7 linked regions of the Xenopus tropicalis genome follow. The protein of the gene in region 5 purifies or fractionates together with the protein of the main gene of each other region. This does not show direct contact. Links are inferred from orthologs where the notes say so. Each region holds a gene or a part of one and is shown on either strand. Other genes may lie near its edges. The genes, in order: sec22b, stx10, snap29, vamp4, napa, vamp3 and bnip1.

Region 1 (4,179 bases), on a different chromosome or scaffold from region 5:
TACCACTGCCAAGTTACTAGGGTAAAAAATACCCTAGCAACCAGGTAGCCGCTATAAAATGGAGAGCTGCTGAACACAAAAATAAATAACTGAAAAACCATAAAAAATGAAGACCATTTGCTAATTGCCCTTTAAAGCCCTTCTCCTTGTGTACTTAACCCATATCTTCAAATTATGATATGACCAGTAATTAATATTTACTGACCAGTCATATGACTATGTATATGACTATTTAGGTGCACATCATTATTTTAGTCAATGTTTTGAATGATGGTTGCACTAATGAATGGGGTTTTACTCTGGCCACATTTCTTTCACTGTTATAATTTAACCCCCATGCTCAACAGCCTCTGTTCCTCTGAGATATATAATTAGGTGTGGGAGGTGCATATGAACAATTTTTAGTGTTAACCGCCATTTCACTAACTGGTCCCTGATGCCCATTGTGGCAAAAACCACTGACATTAAATCATTCAGCAAATAATAATCTGCCAACCAACATGTTTACTGAGAAAGGGTAAAGTGTGATGTCAACGGCACTGCAAAGTTCTGGACTGGTTCCATGCAGGATGTCCTGGGGTAAGTGCCTAAATAAGCAACGGTATATTCTATGCAGATTACACATGGGTAAATATATTTATTTTGCCTGCTCCTATATTTGCATGATTATTCTGTATCTATGCTCCTCGTATAGTTCTTATTACGTGGCTATCCTTGTGGGTTTCCACTTTACCTTAGCCTGATACACAAAGAGCTTTATATGAAAATTAGACCAATGAGGGAAGGTTTCATTATAACTCGAGGGAGAGCAGTAATTACAGCTCACTTGCTAACCTGCAGACAGCAATACAATCCTCAATCTTCATGTAAACACATTTTATGTATAGCTCCTGCATTGCCATAGGAGCTAATTACAGCACTACATATCCTCCTCTCATACAGTAACCCTTAGGCACTGAAATAATGGCAAACAGTCCTTTGCATACAAGGGAACAGTAGCAGCTTTTCCAGTTACACACCATGTACATTACTGTAGCACATTGATAAAGGAAGAACAGAAACAAGTTGCTATAAAAGTGCAACAAATCAATAAGTAGCTCTGGAATATCTGTGTTTTGTTGGGTAATTAGAGCTGCACTGTATTCAATAATGCTCCCAATCTGAACCCATGCGCTTCTACCCTATGACCTTTCTACTCCGTAACTTTACGCACACTTTTTTAAGAAACTCTTGCACAAGCCTTGCAACATAGAAGAGGTGGTCATACCTCCTGAACAGAAGGATAAAGGTCTAGAGGCTATTTTTACTAATAGTGCAACAGTGCCTTTTCACTTGGACACAATCAGGCAGCTTCTGCTCAGATTGCCAACACAACCTGTGACCTTATACATCCCTTAGAGGGCCACATACGGTCTATGGCTGGTCAGTCCTGTGATATAATCTTTAATAAGGCATCTTATCTACATGCACAGGGTACTATTTAAGTACTTACCGTCACAGTTATGCACACCCTCCCACCACTCTATAGAAGCACCGATAAATCATAAGCATAGACCTAGGCATGTCCCACATGTACACCTTTTTGGACAAAACCAAAGCTACCTATAACCCTCACCTGTACAGGCTAAATACATGGAACACTACATATAATGTTCATTAATAGTGGCACAACTAATATACAACACTACGCACAGCCTTCACCTTTCTGGCTAATCAGTATAAACACACAATAGAATAGCTAATTCACACCTGCATGGACACAGGTATGGTCACTATACATAACCACAAACAGCTCTACATTCCGCACACAGTTAAAGTCATACATATCTAACATCTGTATGGTCTAAATGTATCCGCACTGCTTTCTTTATAAATATAGATTGTAAGCTCTACGGGGCAGGGACCTCCTTCCTCTTGTGTCCTCGACTCTTAACTTATTGCAGCTGTATTTATTTATTGTTATACTTTGTATTTATCTATTATTATCTTATTAACACCCTGTTTGTATTAATGTATTCTACTGTACAGCGCTGCGTACATAAGTAGCGCTTTATAAATAAAGATATACATACATACATACAAATATCCCTCACCTATATGGCACAATAAATATGCCCACAACAGCTTACATAGGCCGTGCCTGTAGCGGAGCTGTGCATAATAGCCAGGTACATACTTGCTGGCCAGACCTGCCCAATCAACGGAACAGAGACAATGCAGCCAGTTATGATAGAAATGTATGTCTAACAATGTATTTTATAGGTGTCCCAAAATGAAGTTGACAGGCTACCTGTGTGTGCATATACAGTAGTCAACCCTACACATACACTACACTTCTTTATATATACAATGTACGCTCACACATATACACAAACACATTATTCATATCTCATCACAGTGTAAACAAACAGCTAGCACTCAGATACACAGCTTACCTGTATTCCCATAGCGCATAAACACACACAAGCAGGGCACTGCTTATAATAACGCACCCAGCACAATAACACCCTCGCTTGAATGGATACAGTGAATATACACCCCAGTACAACTGCCCCTGAGCTATGTAGCCCAAGGTTTTGCTTCTAAACATCACTCCAACATGCCCTCAGCTACATCTGGTTCCCTATAGCTATTACTATGCACTCCCCAACAGGTGGGCTCTCTCGAGTTGAAGACATGTTTGACCTGTATATGAACATTTCACCTGTTCGTCCTCCTGCATGGAGGCAGCCAGCGGGAGTCCGTCAGCCACTCGGGCGATCATCGTTAGCAGGACCATGTTGACCGGGGGAGACAGACGCACACACACACAACAGGGCTAGAGATCAGGATGAGCTGGCCGGAAACGTTGCTCTCCACCCCCCTGCTCCGCTGGCAGTGACAGGGTTCACACTGTAGTACCGCCCCCCTGTCTGTCTCAACAAAGGTTCCGGGGTACGAAAGTTCCTAGGGAAGGAAAATGAAAGTTACGGCGCCTAGGCATTTGTGCTGTGGATTCGCCATCTTTTATTTGGAATCTGCCAGTATTGTCTTTTATAAATCGATGCTAGGCAAAATAATGAGTAAGAAAAGAAGGGAAATCTTTTTCTAGAGACGTGATATCTTGGCATCTTAATACTTTAAGGTTTCCCCTAATTTCTGAGCTGCTGCTGGAACAATTAATGGTTTTGCATGGGCCAGGTCATAAATGGCAACTGAAGCCCTGCTTCACCCCAATTGCATATGAGGCATCTTACCCCTTTTTGCCTTAATCCATTAAAACTCAGTTCATGTTCTGGCCCACCTACCTTCAGCACATACAGTTGCCGCCTGCCCAGGGTTTTACTGGCCTGGCTGGTAAAAATGATGCTTGATGTTGTGCAAAGACAGGGTTCACTTTTACTTCTTGGCCATATTTGCCAATGACATAAGGGGTTGAGTAGGTACCAGGAGGGTGAAGTTGTGATGTGTGGGGCCTTAAATGGATGAAGTGGGTCAGATTTGGTAAGTAGGCAGGGCTTAGGTGCATAGAAGGGGTGCAAAGAGAGGGACCCCTGACTGCAGAACCATTGTAACCCCCTGTAGTACATTATTGAGTTACTTGATTTATAATATATATTTCTGCTTTGATATATCATTTAGGTTTAGTCAATAAATAATTCAGCACATTTTAGGGAACTATTGTGAAGATAAGGGGAGTCCAGTGTACTTGTTGCTGGGTAAACATATATAGTAAAAATAGACATTTTTTATTGTTACATAAGAAACATGGGTATTGTTAGCCAGCAAATAAACAAGCATACAGCAGGCAGACAATAGCCGCTTATACACAACTTATTTAAATTAGACATGACTGAAGAGGTATAAAGCTCTTTATGGAGAATTAAACTCAAAAAATCAATATGGCTAGAAATGCCAAATTTTACATACTAAACTTGATGCAGCAGCCTAAAGTTTCAGCATCTCTATAGTAATAATTATCCAGGTCCTTACAGTTATCACAGAAGCTTCCCATCTTGGATGTTGCTAGGAGTGTTAGTGACACTGCATATGCTCAGTGTGCCCTGGGCAACTGTTGGGAAGCAAAGCTTAGGGGTTGTTGAAAATTATCAAGCCAAAAATTAGGTTTAATTGTCATATACGCTGATGCCACATGGCTGATTAATAAATTCTGATGCTAATTGCACTGGTTTCAAAGCT
Region 2 (3,995 bases), on a different chromosome or scaffold from region 5:
TTTAATTTACCTTTACAGAATTCCGCGTCTGCTCCACAAAACTCCTTCTCTCACTAAGCTCCGTCCCGGTGATCTTGAATTTTCGCGAGTTCGATTCCACGATGCCCAAGATGGGAGTAAAGGAAAACTGTGGAATGGACTAGAATTGCAAAAAGGCTACCAGTGGCCAAGGGAACAACACAGAGCGTAACAGTAGAATAAACCCATACGCTAGGGGCCCTTTTGTATCCCATGGGTTTATTCTAGCGCCAGTATGTTAGATGGGCCACCTCGGGGCCTCCTATCAATATGCCTGGTATCAACTAGGTGCCTCTCGGGCTATTTCAGGGTTACCTGACAGGGACTGGCACTGTGTCTGACCAATTAGGATACTGATGGTTTCTTCCAGATCCTCCAGATCCCATTCAATGCTGCGCAAGGAATTCCGCAACTCGTTGGTCGTCCAATCAAACTCTTCGGCACTGGTAACTTGGCTTTCTTGGAGGAGTTCACACCAGCGCTGGTACAAACCCCGGCTGGTGTTCAGAGCCTTCTGCACCTCTCTGCGGGGGGAGAAAGAGAGTAATACAGGACAGAGAGATGGCTACCAGAGGAACGAGGGGGGAGAAAGGGAGGAGTCTAGTTTTGTTTTAACTATGGGGCCCTGACTAACAGCACTACTATAGGGAAATGACTCCCAGGGAAAGGGTTGGTGGCAGCCAAATGTCTATGTTTTACGGTATAACTTCATCTTTGGTTATGGTCTCTAGCACAAGGCAAAGCCCAGCCAGCCTGACCTGTGTTTACTTTCTAGGGCAGGGAAGTCAGTCAGTCAGTCAGTCAGTGAGTGGGGGGGAGTTGTAATACACAGGTCTGTTTGACATCCTTGTAGGGCGGGCTTCACTACAGGCCACGGATGGTTTGAGCCTTGGGAATGACAAGGTGCAGGAAGCGCTTGCCATCGGCATAAAGAGACTTTACTGGACCCCATAGAAAAGTCATTTTAGGGACCCTCTTAACTTTGGGAACAAGTTAGAAATATATATTGCAACTGAGTCAGTGCCCCACTGGGCCCCCTATACCCCCTGTTATCAGTCAGTGCCCCACTGGGCCCCCTATACCCCCTGTTATCAGTCAGTGCCCCGCTGGGCCCCTATACCTCCTGTTATCAGTCAGTGCCCCACTGGGCCCCCTATACCTCCTGTTATCAGTCAGTGCCCCACTGGGCCCCCTATACCCCCTGTTATCAGTCAGTGCCCCGCTGGGCCCCCTATACCCCCTGTTATCAGTCAGTGCCCCACTGGGCCCCCTATACCTCCTGTTATCAGTCAGTGCCCCACTGGGCCCCCTATACCCCGTTATCAGTCAGTGCCCCTCTGGGCCCCTATACCCCCTGTTATCAGTCAGTACCCCACTGGGCCCCCTATACCCCCTGTTATCAGTCAGTGCCCCACTGGGCCCCCTATACCCCCTGTTATCAGTCAGTGCCCCGCTGGGCCCCCTATACCCCGTTATCAGTCAGTACCCCACTGGGCCCCCTATACCCCCTGTTATCAGTCAGTGCCCCTCTGGGCCCCCTATACCCCCTGTTATCAGTCAGTGCCCGGCTGGGCCCCCTATACCCCGTTATCAGTCAGTGCCCCTCTGGGCCCCCTATACCCCCTGTTATCAGTCAGTGCCCCTCTGGGCCCCCTATACCCCCTGTTATCAGTCAGTGCCCCACTGGGCCCCCTATACCCCCTGTTATCAGTCAGTGCCCCTCTGGGCCCCCTATACCCCCTGTTATCAGTCAGTGCCCCACTGGGCCCCCTATACCCCCTGTTATCAGTCAGTGCCCCTCTGGGCCCCCTATACCCCCTGTTATCAGTCAGTGCCCCTCTGGGCCCCCTATACCCCCTGTTATCAGTCAGTGCCCCTCTGGGCCCCCTATACCCCCTGTTATCAGTCAGTGCCCCACTGGGCCCCCTATACCCCTTGTTATCAGTCAGTGCCCCTCTGGGCCCCCTATACCCCCTGTTATCAGTCAGTGCCCCACTGGGCCCCCTATACCCCTTGTTATTAGTCAGTGCCCCTCTGGGCCCCCTATACCCCCTGTTATCAGTCAGTGCCCCACTGGGCCCCCTATACCCCCTGTTATCAGTCAGTGCCCCACTGGGCCCCCTATACCCCTTGTTATTAGTCAGTGCCCCTCTGGGCCCCCTATACCCCCTGTTATCAGTCAGTGCCCCGCTGGGCCCCTATACCCCCTGTTATCAGTCAGTGCCCCTCTGGGCCCCCTAAACCCCTTGTTATTAGTCAGTGCCCCTCTGGGCCCCTATACTTCTTAGGACCCCCAGTAGTCACACAATCTGTCTCCCCTATAGGCAGAACCCCACATGTCCCTGTATACTCCCTGGCGCCCCTCGCTGCGGTCTCTATGGTAACCCCCCGGGCACAGGAGACAGGCAGCATGGCACTGCCCATTTGCTGGAATAAGAAGCCAATACTCACCCTCTCACCACTGAGAATGGATCGTCCAGAGACATTTTGGCTTTTCTTCCTGTTTTGGCTTATTTCCCCTTCTATCTAACTCTATACAATAATCTATGTCTGTACTTACATAGCGCCCCTAGAGTGCCCAGGCACTTACTGCATTCTCTGCCCCAGCTGCCCTTATAGGAATCTACAGCCTCTATATAAGCTCCTGTCTCTCTCTATACCTGTATATATATATGTGTGTGTGTGTGTATATGTGAGTATAGGGGCTAGCAGGGTATCTCTCCCATCCCTGGGGCCGCACTCTGCCCCCTCCCCTCACAGCCTCTGTTTATATAAACACGTGTATAAACTCATCTCCCCCCGCTCCCTGCCCCGCACCTCTATCACTTGTACCTCTAATAATAACAATAAATCTGTCTCCTAGCAACAAGCTTCTGTCACTCCGACCCCGAGTCTCACTCTCTCCGCAACACTCTAAACTCTCCCCTACTGACAATCTTTCTTCCAGTCACTTTTTCGCCTACTTCCGCCCTCCTCGGCTTCCCTGCCGTCACGTGTCTCCGGTTCAGGCGCGAAGCATCACGGGACTTGTAGTGTATTTCTGTTAATCCGATCAGTTCACTTCTAGGTCACGTGACTGGTGCTGAAATGCTGCAGTTCGGTTGAAGCTTCGCTGGGGGCGCTGTGTTGTTTCTAATGAGGAAGTGAAAGTAGGGAAATTTGGAGGAAAATACCCGCATAATGGGAGAACGTTCGCAAACAAGATGGGGCAGGGTGGCATAGGAGTATTTATTTAGTTTTAAGAAGATGGAAAAATCGACCTTTTGGGGAAATCTTTGCCAATGCCAGAGGGGCTGCTGAGAACTTCCGTTGACTTTGGGGTATTTTTGGCCCAACCAGCCCAATTAAAGGAACAGTAACACCAAAAATAATAAAGTATATCAAAGTAATGAATATATATTGTACTGCTGCCCTGCACTGGCACAACTGGCTGTGTAACCTGCACCTTGTTCCCCCAATAGTATGGGGCGCATTGTCTGTGGATCCCACTTCAGGAGGGGGTTGTTGCGCTTGTTGGGAGTAAATGAAGAGCAGTGATTGGCCAAGTATAACCGCTGCCATTTTGTGGGTAGTTCTGAATGTGAATCTGAATGGATATCTTCATGCAGAAATAATAGCAGCAGGTAATGGTAATGGATGGGATAGATTTGATGGCTGATGCTGGGGGTGCCACACTTCTGATCGGGGGGGGGGGGGGGGGGGGTTGTGGATTACAGCCAGAGGTGTGGGGGGACTGGAATCTTGGGAAAGTAAGGAGGGGCTTGGTCAGCAGTGGCCATAGTGTCAAGTGTGGGGCAGAGGTCCTAGAAGGATTAAAGGCAGATGTTCCTGGTGCTGTTGTGATTGCAGAATGGGCCCCTATAAGAAGGCAGTGGGACATCACCGGTGCCAGATAAACCCTGTGCTGCAAGTCTCACAGTAGGAGCAAGGTGAGCATGGGGGGCACTCATGGCGGGGATAGTCCTTCCACCCAAGAG
Region 3 (2,177 bases), on a different chromosome or scaffold from region 5:
TATAGGCTCTGAGGATCATTAACTACCAATCCTACATTTACTATTATCAGTATTACAATTGCTTTTTAAATTACTGAAATGTGTGCCTTTGCCCTAATGGGGTAACCCAGTGTCTTTTTACATAATAACACTGAAAGGATTTGTGTGGTATAAGACTGGGAGTGAAATAATAAGAGAGCTGCTCTTCAAATACCCCTTTGGCCTGTCTACAAAACCATTATGACTGCTAAAGTGATACTGACACGAAAAAAAAACTTTTTAAAATATAAATCTACATAAAAAGTTGCCTATAGGTCGTGTTGATCATTTTTTACTGATAGGGCTGCTTTTGTAAGTAATTGTTACTTGAAATCCCAAAACCTGACTGTTTTGCCAGCCTGACTGTCCCTTCTCAGCCTGTCAGTTATAGCTTCTAATGCTAACGGCCTCCTGCTGGACAAATATGGCCGCCCCCTCATAGAGGAACATGGGGGATCAGATAGGGAATGTAAAAGCTTGGACAAATACTTTTATGGCAAAATTATAAATAGCATGCAAAGACAATGTTATGACAGATGTAAAAATAATTTCATTTCTGGTGTCAGTATCTCTTAACAAATACTTCCTGTTTTGGCATATCTTTCATAAACAGTTTGGAGGATTGCGACTCTAATTACCAACCAACTAATCACATTAAGAATCTATTGGGAAAGAAATAGGCTCCCAACAGATTTTAATGACTGATTCTAGGCATCAAGGCTACCATTTATAGATGACCTGGTTAAAGCTAAATGACAAGGTGTAACCCATACACCGTATTTTTTTTTTCCATACCTACTAATATTGCTGCATTTTAAAAATAATAATACTAATCCTAAGGTTGTGTTATTCCTTTCTTCCAGATGACATGTCTTTAGGTTTGGGTCGCCTGAAAAACCTTGCACTAGGACTTCAGACAGAAATCGATGACCAGGATGAGATGCTTGGGCGCCTAACTGGCAAAGTAGATAAGATGGACTTAAACATCAAGACTACAGACAAGCGGATTCGCGAAGAGCTATAAAAGACAAATTTCAGACTTGACCAAGACCGACTCTTGAGTTTTATTCTTGTGGTTTTTATAATGTTATGCAGTTTTTTTTTTTTTTGTTTTTTTTTATACTGGGACATAAATATCCCACACATCCCTATCTGAATCTTATATCTTCTGTATAACTATACATTACATTCGTTAGCATTAAATGTAGATGATGTTTTGCAGTATTATTACTAATATAGATCCTTATTAAGATATAAAAATGAATTGTCTTACTATTGGAATTGTATTGTAGTGATTGGCAGTTTGTTATAGCTCTGGATCTGAATAAAGTATTTGAGTTCATTTGCTAGGTATTACCTTACTGCTATATGACAGAATAGACATATGAACATGCCTTTATTAAAACTGCAATATTTTACACATGCTCGTAACATAGGGTTTAATGGGCCCTGCCATATGCCACTTTCTTATTACCCTTATTATTTTAATCTAGTGTTCTGAAACTTTGTGTATAAATATGTTTATAAATTTATGTGACACTCCCGTAAACCATACTGTGAATATTTTATCAGTTTACTTGTTAAGTTAAAAAAAAAAGCCTAATAATCTTGCCTGTTATTATTTTAACTAACTTGTTTAATATATTATTTGCTTTCTGATTTTGTGCCATTTGTCTTCTTTAGACAAATTTGAGTCTGTAGACTTGTTTCTCTGCCTGACATTTCAGATAATTTATTCATACTCCCTTATACTTATTAAATGTTTTGGACATAGTAATCCTTATTTCCCCTTTTGTATTATTAGCACACTTGGGCATATTTTAAAGCTGTGTAAAATATTACATGAGCAATAACACCATGCACCCTTGTAACTATCAATTACAAAGTTGTAATCATAATCAAAACGGGGCACATGTGCTTCAGATAAAATCAGTGGTAAAGAATTTATAGCAGCTGTTGAAGGCAAATGTGCCTAGCTTTTTAGTAGCTGTACATTAACATATATACTGTATATCTTTAAGCAGTACAAGCTATGATAACATCTGAGCCTGTGTTTCACTGTCAAATGCATATATGTTTGAGGGCGTGTTTAAAAAGGCCACTTTGCATACTAGACTGAGAAGTAGCACAATAATCTTGTACAGCAGCATTTTTACCTA
Region 4 (2,522 bases), on a different chromosome or scaffold from region 5:
CACAGAGAGATGGGAAGGCTCAGCTTGCAGCTGGCTAAATGTTGGTGTCGTTGCTTCCTCTCCATCCATTAGCCTTTAATGTCACTATAGGGAACAGTCAAATCTCATCCGCTGCAAGTAGCCACTTCCAGTCTTCCTGTGTGACATTAGCCTGCAGACTAAAGTGTTGCTGGCGTCTTTGAATAATATGGCGTGAATGACAGTTTAAATTCTCTGTGTGTTTTTTTTTTTTTTATATGCAGGAATGTAACCTTTTGCTCCCTAACCATTAAACAAGGATTCCATCACAGAAGCGCTAAAGAGTAAATGGGTGAAATGCAAATGGGGATATAGTTCCGAACATGCTAGAAACTGATCCACTTTCTCTGAATAGATTAATTTAAACTTGTTTGGATACAGTAAGAATGTAATAGAAATTAAGCAAGCCCCTTTTTCCAAGGTAAACTAATACTGTCAGATCTATCATTTGCTAAACTACCCTCAGTACTTACCTTCTTCTTTGAGCAGAAATTGGTTCCTACGACCCACCCATACAGGGCTTTCTCAAACACAAACTGGCTTGGTTCATATGGTGGGGTACTTAAAGGCATGCAACAGCAAAGTAGTGAACAGGTTACTAAAAAATATTGATGATGAAAACTTTATTGTGGGATAAATTTGAAATGAAATCCAAAAGTTAAGGCTTTCCATTTTTAGCTAAGCTAAAGGAAAATGACCTTGCTAGACTGGCAGTTGTTTGTTGTTGTTCCAGTTGTATTTGTATTTGCAGTGTACAGAACCAGGTGGATGAAGTCATCGATGTCATGCAAGAAAACATCACAAGGGTGATCGAAAGGGGAGAAAGGTTGGATGAGCTGCAGGACAAGTCAGGTAATGGAGCTCCTGCAGTAAGCGGTGAGATAAGAAATTGCTCTCTGATCTATTTATTCTTTAATTTATATGCAGTCATTATTTCCATGCTAAGAAATGCTGACTAAAAGTGGCTATACAGGGGCCAATAAAAGCTGCTAACAGACCAATTCGGCAGCTTATTGGCATTGTATGGGGCCCTCTGATGGGCCAACCCTACCGATATCTGGGCAGTATTGACCAATATTGGGCAGGTTTAATTTTCAGTTGGTTTGAGGACCTGATCTGCACGTTGATGCAGTCCTTGATCCAATGGCCTGCATGTAGCTGCAATTGTGATCTGATTTTTTGGCACACTCACCTCAAGATGGGCATATCAGGTAAAGATCTTTCACTGTATTGCCACCCTAACTTATGCACTTTTCTAACACACAATCCTATATCTGTTCTGCCACAGAAAGCTTATCAGACAATGCCACAGCCTTCAGCAGCAGATCAAGACAGCTTAGGAGACAGATGTGGTGGAGGGAGTGTAAGGTAAGTAGTGCATCAAACTGTAATACATTCAACAACTTGGATTTTTGTCAAATTACCAGTAAAGCAATGAATGGTTATCAGTTTGCATGAATTTTAGCTTTTCCCTGCATAATAATTGGGTTACCATACATCTAATATTCAGTTTATTGTGCTTTTCAGATGAAAGCAATTATAGCACTGGTTTTTGTCATCATCCTACTAGTGATTATTGGTAGGTATATTGCTCACAAACCTAATGAAACTTGTTAATATTGTATTTTACAAGCAATTTCAATTTTATTTTCTTGTTCTCAGTGAAAACATTAGACATGGGGACACAGGGCCTCAAAAAATTATAGTTAGCAAAGCATGTATTGCATCAACTTAGTCCTCTGTTCACCTCCTGTACTGTTGTCACTGCACAGGCAACTTCAAAGCAAATAAAGATGGAGGGGAGATTAAAGCAATATTTATTTGTTGTGCAGTACACTACATCAGTGCTGTCCAACCCCTGTGATACCGAGGGCCAAAATTTTTCTGGCCTATGTGGTGGAGGGCCGATAATGGAAGCCAGTTTTGACCATTCCCCTTTTCAAACCACACCCATGTTATCACAAGAGCTTTTAAGACCATATACACATTAATGGCGGTAGCACAGCAAAAACCCAAATGGTTAATGCTCACTGAAGGATACCATCCTTCATTCATTTGTGAAGGAAGTTTATTATGTCATATTAAGACACACCCTTAAATTCATATGCCTCGCCTGTGGAAAGCCCCAACACATAATTACACTCCTTATGGACCATATAATGACTATTTCCAAATGCTAACAAACTCGGAACAACCCAGAACAAACCCCTGCCATGTTCACCTCCCACAGGCAGCATAGGGCAGACAGAGTATGGCACATACAGGCAGCATAGGGCAGGCAGAGTATGGCGCACACAGGTAGCAAAGAGCAGGAAAAATATGGCACACTCAGGCAACATAGGGCAGGCAGTACATACAGTGACACAATGCTGGCACTGTTCATACAGTCTGAGGTGTGAACAGGTGAACAATGTGGGGGCTGAGCCTGAGTTGCGTTGTTCTCAACTCAGGTTTAGACTATAAACTGACTATAATGCAGTGTGAACTACAGGGTGTTAAAGGCA
Region 5 (3,936 bases):
GCAACATCATAAAAAAAACCAGATGAATAGGATGCTCATTTTACAATAAACCTAAACATAAACAAGAAAATTCAACATAAAACCCAACAACAAACATCAAATCTTTGAGGACCGCCTATGCAGGGGATACAGGGGAATGGCTCCCTCCACCATAGCTTCTCATGCTGCCACAGTTGGCCCACCAGGTGTCTTTAAGAATTGTGCAATTTTTCTGTGGGTTTTTTTTTTTTTTTTTTTGCATACATACATAAAATGGACATTTACATTTTTTTTTTCTCTATGAGGGGGGACAGCTCTTGAACCTGACTGAGCATATACCAGATATCCATTCTACCGGGTATATATTTTGCCACTTCCTCCCAGAAGTGCTGCACACAGGCCACAACAGCTGGATAAAGTCAGATGGTGAAAAACGACATCTGGGGCACTCTTGTGGGAGCTCCTGGTTTAATATTTGTAACGGTGGGGTGTATCCCTAATTACAGCATCAAAGGTTGACTCCAACACCTCCTCCCACAGTTCAAGTGTAATGTGGGGGAGATCCTGTTGCCACCTGGCATAGAGTTTGTTCAGAAGGGTACTGCCTGCCCTCACTTTTGCATTATTGATGTCTGCCTACTATTTCATGTTCAGAACATCCTCCAATTTATTTTTAGAGCTTTATCCTACAATTTCAGTCTGAATGTTAGTTTTAGATCGTTGCATTTAAACGTATGATCGATATCCGAACATTCATTAGAAGAGCATTTTTTTTGTTCCCTGCTACTTTCTGACTAAAAAAAAACCCACTTGTTTCCATAACAATTCTATTGCCCATTTCCCAAACACATATGTATCATTCTCTACAAACTGCATTTAAACACACCTTGATCCTTAGTCAACAAATATCTTACTAAACATCTTGCGTTCTTTTAGCCATATTCGCATTGTCACTCTGTTTGTGGTCAACTTAAGAAGTGATAAAGACCAAAAAAAAGCGGAAGATAGTTTGAAATTGTCCTTACCATGTCAGTGTAGATCTCTATTGCTCGAAGCAGACAGTTAATTGCCTCTGAAAACAATATAGATACTTGTGATCATTTATCAAAGTTATTATTGAAAAAGTTAAGCATTGCTTTATGTATTCTTGCAGAAAAGCCTTTATTTCATTTAATAAAATACCTCTAATAAAATAAGGCCTAAAATCACCTGGCATTTCATATTCAAGATGAATATATAAGAATATATTCATGTGCCTGGCTGTGCATGGCATTCTCTGGTCAAGACAATATCAGATCAGCTTGAAATGTGCCTGTTTGCATTTGGCGACCAGTGCTAGGATTGCTTTGATAGTAAAAAAATGCTGCAAATCACACCGGTCTATTTTGTCTATTATTAACAGTTACAGGTGAGGAGCACTGTATTCAGGAGCATCAAGACGGGGGAGGAGGGGGGTCTCTGCATTTTATTCTTCTTGGAGCTATCATTGTGGGGGTATTGCCACAATAGACAAAAAACACTTTTGTGCAAAACACTTATTTACACTTAGTTATTACAACAACCCACATTTCTGTGCACATAACTGATATAAATATGTTATCTTTGTGCATATGACCGAAAACAAATCAAAGGGGAACACTGGGTGCTGGTACAAACAGTTATTGATAGATAACTTTGAAAAAAAAAAAGACTCATTCAAGAGACAACTAGGACCTCTCTTACCCTGGGGGTCAGATTTCTTGAATGCATTTCCAGCATCCACAAAGTTAGTGGCTGCATCATGCTTGCTTTGAACCTGAAGATGGATCTGGGCAGCCTGGCAGAAGGCATTGCCAGCAGCTGGGAAAAAGAAGAAGAGCATCTTATTGCACTATTCCGAGGAGTATAAATATCTATATACCTATATATGGATATATGGAAAGTTTGTTACAAATGATTTTACAGATTACATACTACCTACCACTCCAGTTCTTGGCCATCTTAAACATGTTGGCAGCCCTGGCATAGAGGTCGCATGCTTCTTCCATTTTAGAGGAGCCTCTTAAATGCAGACAAACAGACAAAGATTACACACTATTCAAGTTATAAGATTAACAAAATGTAAAATGCTTTGTGTAGTGACAGCTACAGCGTTGTAAATGCTTAATATTACTAACACTAGTGACAGTTCAATGCTTTTGGTCAGAAACAGATTTTGCCCTGTTACCATGTAATTATTTCTAATTCACTTACCCAAACAGCCCTGAAAAGAATGACTGCGATGACTTCACCTTCTTGTCAGCCTCAGCCAGAAGCTGCAGAGCCTCCTTCTCCTTCCCAGAGTTATCCATGGTTGAATGGGGCCTGTCAATGATAATAACAATCAGAAAATATGGAAAATAGATGCCAATATAAATTATAAAAAAGAAAATATCTATAAATTCAGAAAAATTCCCCGGTATTAGATCAGAGACCATAGAATCAGCCATTGTAACATGGGCCTGGAATTACATTTTAGGAAAGTAGTTAATCTATTAAAGTTTTTCTATTACCGCAAGATGTTAGCCGATTCAGAGCGCTAACCAGAACTAGGAGGCAGGCAGCCAAGAAAAAGCTCTGCAAATGAGTGAAAGGCCTCGTAGAAAGCCGACGAGCTAGTAATACGAGGATACTCGCGGATAGAGACAAACAGGAGGCAGAGGCCAGGGATCAAAAACCCTTGAACCGAGAGACGGCCGAGGGAGATAATCGGGAATCAGAGAGCAGAAGAATAGGGCAAGCAGAAGGGAAAGAATTGTAACAGTGTGCGGGACGCTGACCTGATTTTGCAGGCAAATAATGACTGCGCTTAGTATTTCTCCGGATCAGCAGCTATGCTTCAGTGACAGCAAAACTTCCGCCCGCAGAACACATGATTATTCTGTTTCCGCCAATATCCGTGCCACGTGACCAAACGTTAGCATTCACATCCGCCTAGACACAGTCAGAAGATGTAGTTAGGCTTTTTCTGAGCGGCATTTAAAGGGAAAGATGTGTACTCCTTTTTAAAAATAATACAGACTGTAGTGCGTTGTTTTCTATTACATTATCATTTTTTTACATATGATCTTTTTTATGTTTTAGTTGTCCTTATCTTCGTGTAGTGTTGCATTTCATATTAAAAAAAACAGTGGTCTTCCGGGTTTGTTTGTTTTTAGCTTTTTGCCTCGCTATTGGCAATGTTTGGAACGAGGCATCATTTTTACTACCCTGGCGTTAACATTATTAGTAAGGGGGCAGCCTTTGTTCTGATTCAGCTAATACTGCTTATTACAGTAACTCCATGTTACCATTCTCTGCTCTCTAAGCATAAATGCGGTAGAGGTTAAAGGTCCAGGAAACAGTTTTTTTTGCTTATTGGTGCACCACCAACTATATACTTTACTAATGACCTGAAGGCCAAGTTAAGGAAAGGCAGTAAAGAATAACCCAAACTGCTTAACGTGCCTGGCAATGAGTTTAATATAAACTGCTCATACCTCCCAACATTTGAAAATGAAAAAGAGGGACAAAATATTTTGCAGCGCTAAGCGCGGCGAAATTTTTCTTGACCACGCCCACTATATGGCCACACCCCCAGATGTCCCATTTTTGCACATTGTCCCGCTGTCCCAGATACTTACTGAAATGTCCTGCTGTGTCTTTTAAGTGTCCTGCTCGTCTTCAGGTCTTTTTGTCTTCCTTTGGGTTTCCTTGGCTCCTTCTGTCACTGCTGTCTTTGGATCTTCACAGCTTCTTCCTGCACTTTTTTATTTGTTGTGGGTGCTGGTGCTGCTCAGGTCGTGGGTCACAAAAGTTACGCTGGTGCTGCTGTGCCTTTATCTACTACTGTACAAGCTCTACTTACTGCTCCTTTTTTAAAAAAAATAAGCTTGGTGAGTCCCTGACTGTAACAAGTGTTTATTAATTCTTAATAAATAATTAATATTCATTATTAAT
Region 6 (4,101 bases), on a different chromosome or scaffold from region 5:
CTGATATAATCAGCCTCTGAGACAGAATGCCTCCCAAACTCCACACACACGCACATCAAATGTAAAAGTGTCTGGGGAGTCATTAGCCCCCAACATCTGAATGGAATTCACCAGAAACTTTGCTGTAAGTTTTGCACTTATTGCTCAAAGGTAAAGACCTTTGAGCAATAAGTGCACATAGTGCAAAACTTACAGTATATTATTAACATTTATTTATAAAGCGCCAACATATTTTGCAGCGCTGTACAATAAGTGGGTTTCATACAATGGACATACAGAGTAACATATAAAGCAATCAATAACTGATACAAGAGGTGAAGAGAGCCCTGCCCAAAAGAGCTTATAATCTACAAATTGTGTATAATTATAATTTTATTACAATATTCTGGTCTGCAGCTGTAGATCATAAGTGAAACAGGCAGCTGCTACACTTTCTCTTCTCCTTAGTGCCAGGGTAATTACTGGGATCTACGTGCAGATCAGCTCCTCTCCTTTTTGGTAAAAATGGGTTTAAAGCTGTTTTATTGCTGCTGGCCCTTCTCTGAGTAAATAATTTGGGTGTAACCCTGGCATTCTCCTCTCTAACAACATACGGTTACATTATATTAATCAGAAGAATCTGAAATAAATGACTTACACAAAAAAAGAGTTCCCAATTGGATTGAGCTATGCTATCAGCAATCTGCAATTCTCTAGAGAAAGAAGGGACCTACTGGGGTCACAAAAAAGTTAATACGTCACCTAAAGGCTACATCCTAATGTTCAGTCAGTTTGGAAGAGATCTGCTACACTGACCAAGTGTATCTATATGGGTTATAATCTGGATACTTAAAGGAACAGCAACACCAAAAAAATGAAATTGTATAAAAGTAACTAAAATATAATGTGCTGCTGCCCTGCACTGGTAAAAGCTGTGTGTTTACTTCAGAAAGTCTACTATAATTTATATAAATAAGCTGCTATGTAGCCATGGGGGCAGCCATTCAAAAGAGAAAAGGCACAGGCACATAGCAGATAACAGATAAAACTTATCTGTTATCTGCTATGTAACCTGTGCCTTTTCTCCTTTTTTCCAGCTTGAATGGCTGCCCCCATGGCTACACAGCAGCTTATTATATAAATTATAGTAGTGTTACTGTAGCAAACACACCAGTTTTACCAGTGCAGGGCAACAGTGCATTATATTTTTATTACTTTAAAGCTCTTTCATTTTTTGGTGTTACTGTTCCTTTAAGGGTGAAGACACAATGGGCAACTAGTACCAGCTACTTTGTAAAGGCTACTAAACTCCAGAAAATACCCTAATGCCCTAACACATGTAGAGATAACTATCAGTAAATGATCAGCAGCCTTTTTTAGTAGCCATGACAAGTAGCTGCTACTAGTAGCTCTGTGTGTCTTCACCCTAAATAGTATTACCTAACTGTAACAAGTTCCTTATTATGATTCTTAGACCAATATCTGATAAATTTGCTGGTTGCCACTTCCCATAGTAATGTATTAGAAATCCTCAGCCTATGCAGCCATCACAAGGGTGATTTCCTCTGGTTGCTATGGGAGGCAGGCGTGGGTGATTTCAGGGGCTTAAACCCCCACCAGGATACAATGGTGGTCAAAACCTACCCTGTGACATGTAGCAAATGCACTTGAAATGAAACCTATCTGCTGATGAAATTCACCCAATCTGAACAACATAAATTCCGTAAAACAACAATGTGCTGCAGCAGAACATTCACATTAAGAACCATTTCTTAAAATGAGTCAAGACTTGTGAAGCAGTAAATACAAATGCGAGCCATTAAGTCTATTTTGAGTTCTAACAGAAGTCATATTATGTAATGTAACAACAAGCTGTTATTGTACTACAACTCCCATCCCATTAGATGCTAGGAGTCAGTGTCGGACTTGGGATGCTAAAAGCCCACCAGAAAACCTTAGACCAGGGATCCCCAACCTTTCTAACTCGTGAGCAACAGTCAAATGTAAAAAGACTTGGAGAGCAACACAAGCACCATAAAGTTCATGGAGGAGCCAAATAAGGGTTATTAGGTAGCCTCTATGCACACTATCAGCTTACAGGGGCTTTATTTGGTAGTAAATCTTGTTTTTATTCAACCAAAACTTGCCCCCAAGTCAGGAATTCAAACATAACTCCCTGGTTTGGGGTCACTGAGAGCAACACCCAAGGGGTTGGGGAGCAACATGTTGCCCCTGAGCCACTGGTTGGGGATCACTGCCTTAGACCATGGGGCCACCCTCCAAATTATTTTTCATCCATTTCTTATCTCTATATATTCCAAGTTATTTTTCTTTATCTTTACAGACTATAATCTATTTTTCTATATATTTAGTTGCTTTGTTCCCTTATAGAAAAATAAGTAAGGACCCTGAATTAGGCCAAATGGCTAGAAGCAGGAGGGCCCCTGGGAATTCTCCCGGTATCCCTGTGGGCCAGTCCGACACTGCTAGGAGTTCAGAAAGCAGACTGAAACATTACACGCCTATTGTAATTGTATTTACCCTTTAAAGCCATAGGGCACTTGTGTCCCCTGTCAAACACCCCTATAAGCCTATGCACAAACTTCTCGGCCGAACTAAATACAACTTTGTACGGACAAAATAGCACATTCTGCGCCCAAACTCTACGCCTCACAGGCCCCGCTCGGTAGCGCAGGGCTAAGGGCGGATACCGGGCAGGGCGTTCCCCGCAACTTGTAAAGGCAGCCCCCCCCAAGCACTACTGGCACACTTACATTTTGACAGGCTAGATACTGCAGGACACCGGTCCGACTTTACTCCGCTGGGCGTTTTTGCCTTGTGTAGCCGCAATCCCGTAGAGTTCCGCTGCCGGGAGAGGTGTGGCCAGCGCAACTCAGGGCGTGGCCAGCATCAATGACGTCAGGTGCAGCGCTGTCAGCTGAGCAGCAGGTCACGTGTGTGGCACAGCCGCTCCCGGTTTTGTCTTGTTAAATTGTCCCTCGGGGAACGGCGGAAACCGCTGCGATATTCCCGCCAATGAACTGGCATGGGGGCTTGGCGTGCGAAATTCCACACGCAAGGGTTATGTTCAGAATAGTGTGAGGCGGCGGGGGGCCCTAGGCGTGTCGGGCAGTCTAATGTGTTTCTTGCTGCGACATTAGGGGAACGCTTCTAAAGTTTAACTAGAGAGTATTCAGCCTGGGCACACAGCCTCCCTGGGGCCCCTTTGGTATAAATGGTAGCTGAGAACATTGCACTTATAGCTATGCAGCCTGCAGCGCAGTAACAGAAATAATCATTTACCTCAGTAGTCAAATAAAGCTTACAAACTAAATCCATATGGAATTCTTACAACACCGTTATATAAACCTGACCAGGAGACGAGTTATTCTTTTAATAACATTGGCCAAGCTGCGGACTAAAATGTTTTGAGGTTAAGGAAGAAATAAAACAATATAAATATGTATATAGACTGCAACTATTTGCAGGTTAAATTAATTTAATTATTATAACCAGCTTCCCCAAGTAAACAGGTGTCCTGTCCCATGGCCTGGAGAGCCCCCACCCACTCTCCTCTGCAGTAGGTTCCACACAAAGTTTGCCATGGGTGGGCCTGGACTAGCCACGCCTCCTAGGAAGGAAGAGGGGAATTGTAGGTGATTTTTGGGGAGGGGAAGTTTGGATAGGAAAGATATCAGGTGGTTGGTAGAAAAGATATTAGCAATTCTATAAAGGTGGCCATGCACCTTAAAGCTGCCAATTCGGGTTCTTCACAGTAATTCGCCATCTTATCTGTCAATGTATGGGGCCCTCTGACAGGCATCCCCAACCAATAGCTGCCCAAAAATCGTCCAGATGACGATCGGATGGTGCAGGCTTGACTTTTTGTATCCCTTTCATGTTATAGTTTGGCCTTAAGCTGGCCATACACGCACCGAAACCTTGTTTCGTACGATATTCGGTGCGTGTATGGCATGTCGGCAAGTCGACCGATATCGCAGGAAGCTGCTGATATCGGACGACTCGCCGATTGGCCAGGTTAGAAAATTTTGATCGGGCGCCATAGAAGGCGCCTGACCAAAATCTGCCGTCAGGGCTGAATCGGCAGAAGGAGGTAGAAAT
Region 7 (2,788 bases), on a different chromosome or scaffold from region 5:
TTTTAATTGTGCATAGTGCACTTTTAAGGCAAGCTCTTTTGGTACAAAGATAACAAATTTTTCAGTAAAATGTTTTATTACATACAATGCACAGTGGTGAAAAATGTAAAATTTGCAATATTTTTTCACTGACAGGTGCGGTCGCAAAACAGTTTCCGGGTTCACAACAGCTATATTAAATTATATTCCCCCCCCCCCCCATAAATACTCAATTGAATGAGTGCAGTTACAAGTGGCAACCAATTTAGCAATTTGCTTTTATTTTTTTACCAACCAAAACTAAGAGCTGAACATTGCAATGGGTTACTGCACTGGTGCAATTTAAAAACCTAGGTTAGAAAAAAGCATATTTTGGATTAAAGGGCAAATTTTCTCCTAAAGCAGGAATATTTGTATATCCCTCATGTTTGGATGTAGGAAGAATAAATCTCAGAAACCAGTCGGTTAGTGGGTGTAGTAGGAAATAACACAAACACAGAATATCATAAATATAATTTATTAAAGAAGACAAAAACTTATTCCTGTCCTCCTGCCAGCTGACATGACATTAGTTAAATGGTAATCACATAAAATATCATGAGAATTAAAGGAAATTGAAAGTTCCATGAGAGAATTGGTCCATGTAGACACAGGAAGTCTGATCTCTGTGCCGTTGCCTTCTGTACAAGGGACAGCTAGTAATAGCCTCAGCCCCCACATGGTTTCCTCCACACAGCACAATGGAATTAATGGCTTGCAATGACAAGCACATATTATATGTTAGTGCTATAAACTGAGCAGCCTTCCTGCTACCGGAAGCTATAACCCCATCTTCTCTGGCTTTCAGGGTGAAGGGGGATTCCATGCAGTAGAATAGCCACAAGTTTGACACTCATTATCTGTTAAAAATAACTCATGACAAAAACCATATAAACGTTTAGTCTGCATGATGGCCATACTGCTTCTTACAGATATATAGCAGTTTATGTGCATCTTTATTTAACTGGATGAAAAGCAGACATTTTATAGAGAGACACTAACTTACAATACAATATGGCTGGACAAAAAAGTTGCCTTCAGTTGTGAGATACTACAAGTCACCTGAAATGGCTGTGTTAAAGGAGCACAGTATTATTGTACATTTTCAACAATATTCCACTCCTGACATTCCACCCCCTGAAGAAATTACATGTTGTAAGGTACCACTGTAGCTGTAGACTGAAGTAAACACTGGAGGAAAGTGAGGTTATTTATACAAATTGCAAAAAAAGTCATTTGCAGTTGTCCTGCATAAGTACAGTTAGTCTATATCTTAATTATTAAAAGACCAGATGATCTACATCCCTGTGATTTCTGCTTTGCTTTCTTGCAGGGGTCATTTACAAAGTGCAGGACAAGGTACAAAGTGTCTAAAACAGGCGCAATCCACCATGTTAATTTTCGCACTTGTACACAGTGCTTTTCTGAATAGCTGAAAGTCTCTGTTCTCCAGAATAGAGAGTAAATCTCAGCATGATATTGTGCCCAGCTACCTTCTGTCCTCCATATTTATATTTATTATGTATAACCAATTATAGGGTTCATTCAAATTATTTTCTTACACAAGATTTACAGCTAGAACTACCACTGACCCCAGAGTCCTCTGCTGTCCTGTCTTTGGGCAAATGTCCCTCTCACTGATGATGTTTTTACATCAGTGATGGCAGGAAAGAAGCTGACTTGACCACCCTTGACCTAGATGGTGGCTGAGTCCTGGTTATTGGACTGAAACAATTGCCTCAAAATCTTATTGGGCTTAACAAGCTATTGTTTGGGAATGCTGAATAATTCTGTCAGGCAAGAACCACAAAAGGCTGTACATGCCTGCTACACTGCTACTGTTTATATATCTGATTCGGAACTCTCCATCTCTGATGTCAAAGGATGAGGCAGTGAGGTGCGAGTCTATAAATGCTAGTGCCAAAGGAATCATGCCAGAACAGGACTGGCTGGGGGAGGCAGTCCTGCATATAGTTCTACCCACTACATTGCTGGCCCGAACCCACCCATGAACCCATGGGTCATGTGGACTTTGGGCTGGCCTGCACACCTCTAATGTAGTCCTCATCAACAGGTCGCCCATTAGTAGCCAAAAGATCAAAACAACAACAAAGCCCATCAAACTGTGCAAACGTCTGCATTTGGGTAATTTTGCTTGTGCATGGTCAGTTTTAGCCTAAGACTGTAACCAAAAAGCACCAGTCTACAGTAAATGATCATTTGTTTCAGTGATGACTTACATCAGTACATAAGACTATCATAAAATCCATTGTATGGCAACTTACATGAATGGAACACAAACGTCAGGTCCAGTACCACAGTCTAAAGCAGGGATGTTCAGCCTTTGTTTCTTCTGCTGTTGTCAATCTACAGCTCCCAGAATTCCCTAACAGTTTAACCAATAATAAACCTACAAATAATTTAACTTTGTGCACCATTTTAAACAGATTAGAGCTGACACAGTCTTAGTTACTAGTTCCAGAGTATTCTGTATAGTTCAGTTAGCTGATGGCAATCTTTAAGGCCAGTGGTCCTCGCCAGATGGGCATCCAAATCCTCTGAAGTAAGAAACCCACACAGTGACTAGAATGGAAGCAGCCTTTTTTTCAAGATGTACAGTACAGTTGCTAAGAATAAGGCCAAGGCCAGAAAAATGAGCAGCTTGTCAGTGAGCTCACGCCGGTTGTACTTAGTGATAAGTTTACGCCCAAGTTGTATAGTCCCTGACATGGATTTGAACTCTTCATTGGCTTCCTGGATGGTCCGTGAT

The links.
Region 1: the proteins of napa (region 5) and sec22b purify together in Homo sapiens (affinity purification with mass spectrometry; 3 studies listed by BioGRID and IntAct, counting the BioPlex papers as one, with this or other methods). This does not show direct contact. The link is inferred for Xenopus tropicalis from reciprocal best matches to the Homo sapiens genes NAPA and SEC22B.
Region 2: the proteins of napa (region 5) and stx10 purify together in Homo sapiens (affinity purification with mass spectrometry; 3 studies listed by BioGRID and IntAct, with this or other methods). This does not show direct contact. The link is inferred for Xenopus tropicalis from reciprocal best matches to the Homo sapiens genes NAPA and STX10.
Region 3: the proteins of napa (region 5) and snap29 purify together in Homo sapiens (affinity purification with mass spectrometry; 3 studies listed by BioGRID and IntAct, with this or other methods). This does not show direct contact. The link is inferred for Xenopus tropicalis from reciprocal best matches to the Homo sapiens genes NAPA and SNAP29.
Region 4: the proteins of napa (region 5) and vamp4 purify together in Homo sapiens (affinity purification with mass spectrometry; 3 studies listed by BioGRID and IntAct, counting the BioPlex papers as one, with this or other methods). This does not show direct contact. The link is inferred for Xenopus tropicalis from reciprocal best matches to the Homo sapiens genes NAPA and VAMP4.
Region 6: the proteins of napa (region 5) and vamp3 purify together in Homo sapiens (affinity purification with mass spectrometry; 3 studies listed by BioGRID and IntAct, with this or other methods). This does not show direct contact. The link is inferred for Xenopus tropicalis from reciprocal best matches to the Homo sapiens genes NAPA and VAMP3.
Region 7: the proteins of napa (region 5) and bnip1 purify together in Homo sapiens (affinity purification with mass spectrometry; 3 studies listed by BioGRID and IntAct, with this or other methods). This does not show direct contact. The link is inferred for Xenopus tropicalis from reciprocal best matches to the Homo sapiens genes NAPA and BNIP1.

What each region holds. Positions count from the first base shown.
Region 1 is NC_030680.2:118,088,402-118,092,580, forward strand, and holds the start of sec22b (vesicle-trafficking protein SEC22b precursor), read right to left. Parts: upstream 2,801-4,179; 5' UTR 2,780-2,800; coding exon 2,705-2,779; intron 1-2,704. UniProt on the Homo sapiens protein: SNARE involved in targeting and fusion of ER-derived transport vesicles with the Golgi complex as well as Golgi-derived retrograde transport vesicles with the ER.
Region 2 is NC_030679.2:140,624,130-140,628,124, forward strand, and holds the start of stx10 (syntaxin-10), read right to left. Parts: upstream 2,801-3,995; 5' UTR 2,505-2,800; coding exon 2,470-2,504; intron 543-2,469; coding exon 373-542; intron 106-372; coding exon 11-105; intron 1-10. UniProt on the Homo sapiens protein: SNARE involved in vesicular transport from the late endosomes to the trans-Golgi network.
Region 3 is NC_030677.2:153,633,264-153,635,440, reverse strand, and holds the end of snap29 (synaptosomal-associated protein 29), read left to right. Parts: intron 1-881; coding exon 882-1,042; 3' UTR 1,043-1,677; downstream 1,678-2,177. UniProt on the Homo sapiens protein: SNAREs, soluble N-ethylmaleimide-sensitive factor-attachment protein receptors, are essential proteins for fusion of cellular membranes.
Region 4 is NC_030680.2:107,512,541-107,515,062, forward strand, and holds part of vamp4 (vesicle-associated membrane protein 4), read left to right. Parts: intron 1-769; coding exon 770-870; intron 871-1,306; coding exon 1,307-1,386; intron 1,387-1,545; coding exon 1,546-1,597; intron 1,598-2,522. UniProt on the Homo sapiens protein: Involved in the pathway that functions to remove an inhibitor (probably synaptotagmin-4) of calcium-triggered exocytosis during the maturation of secretory granules.
Region 5 is NC_030684.2:79,897,402-79,901,337, reverse strand, and holds the start of napa (alpha-soluble NSF attachment protein), read right to left. Parts: upstream 2,801-3,936; 5' UTR 2,778-2,800; intron 2,768-2,777; exon of another isoform or gene 2,511-2,767; intron 2,323-2,510; 5' UTR 2,310-2,322; coding exon 2,212-2,309; intron 2,020-2,211; coding exon 1,940-2,019; intron 1,819-1,939; coding exon 1,702-1,818; intron 1,052-1,701; coding exon 1,005-1,051; intron 1-1,004. UniProt on the Homo sapiens protein: Required for vesicular transport between the endoplasmic reticulum and the Golgi apparatus. Together with GNA12 promotes CDH5 localization to plasma membrane.
Region 6 is NC_030683.2:101,173,600-101,177,700, reverse strand, and holds the start of vamp3 (vesicle-associated membrane protein 3), read right to left. Parts: upstream 2,801-4,101; 5' UTR 2,756-2,800; coding exon 2,754-2,755; intron 1-2,753. UniProt on the Homo sapiens protein: SNARE involved in vesicular transport from the late endosomes to the trans-Golgi network.
Region 7 is NC_030679.2:43,438,555-43,441,342, forward strand, and holds the end of bnip1 (vesicle transport protein SEC20), read right to left. Parts: coding exon 2,602-2,788; 3' UTR 501-2,601; downstream 1-500. UniProt on the Homo sapiens protein: As part of a SNARE complex may be involved in endoplasmic reticulum membranes fusion and be required for the maintenance of endoplasmic reticulum organization. Also plays a role in apoptosis.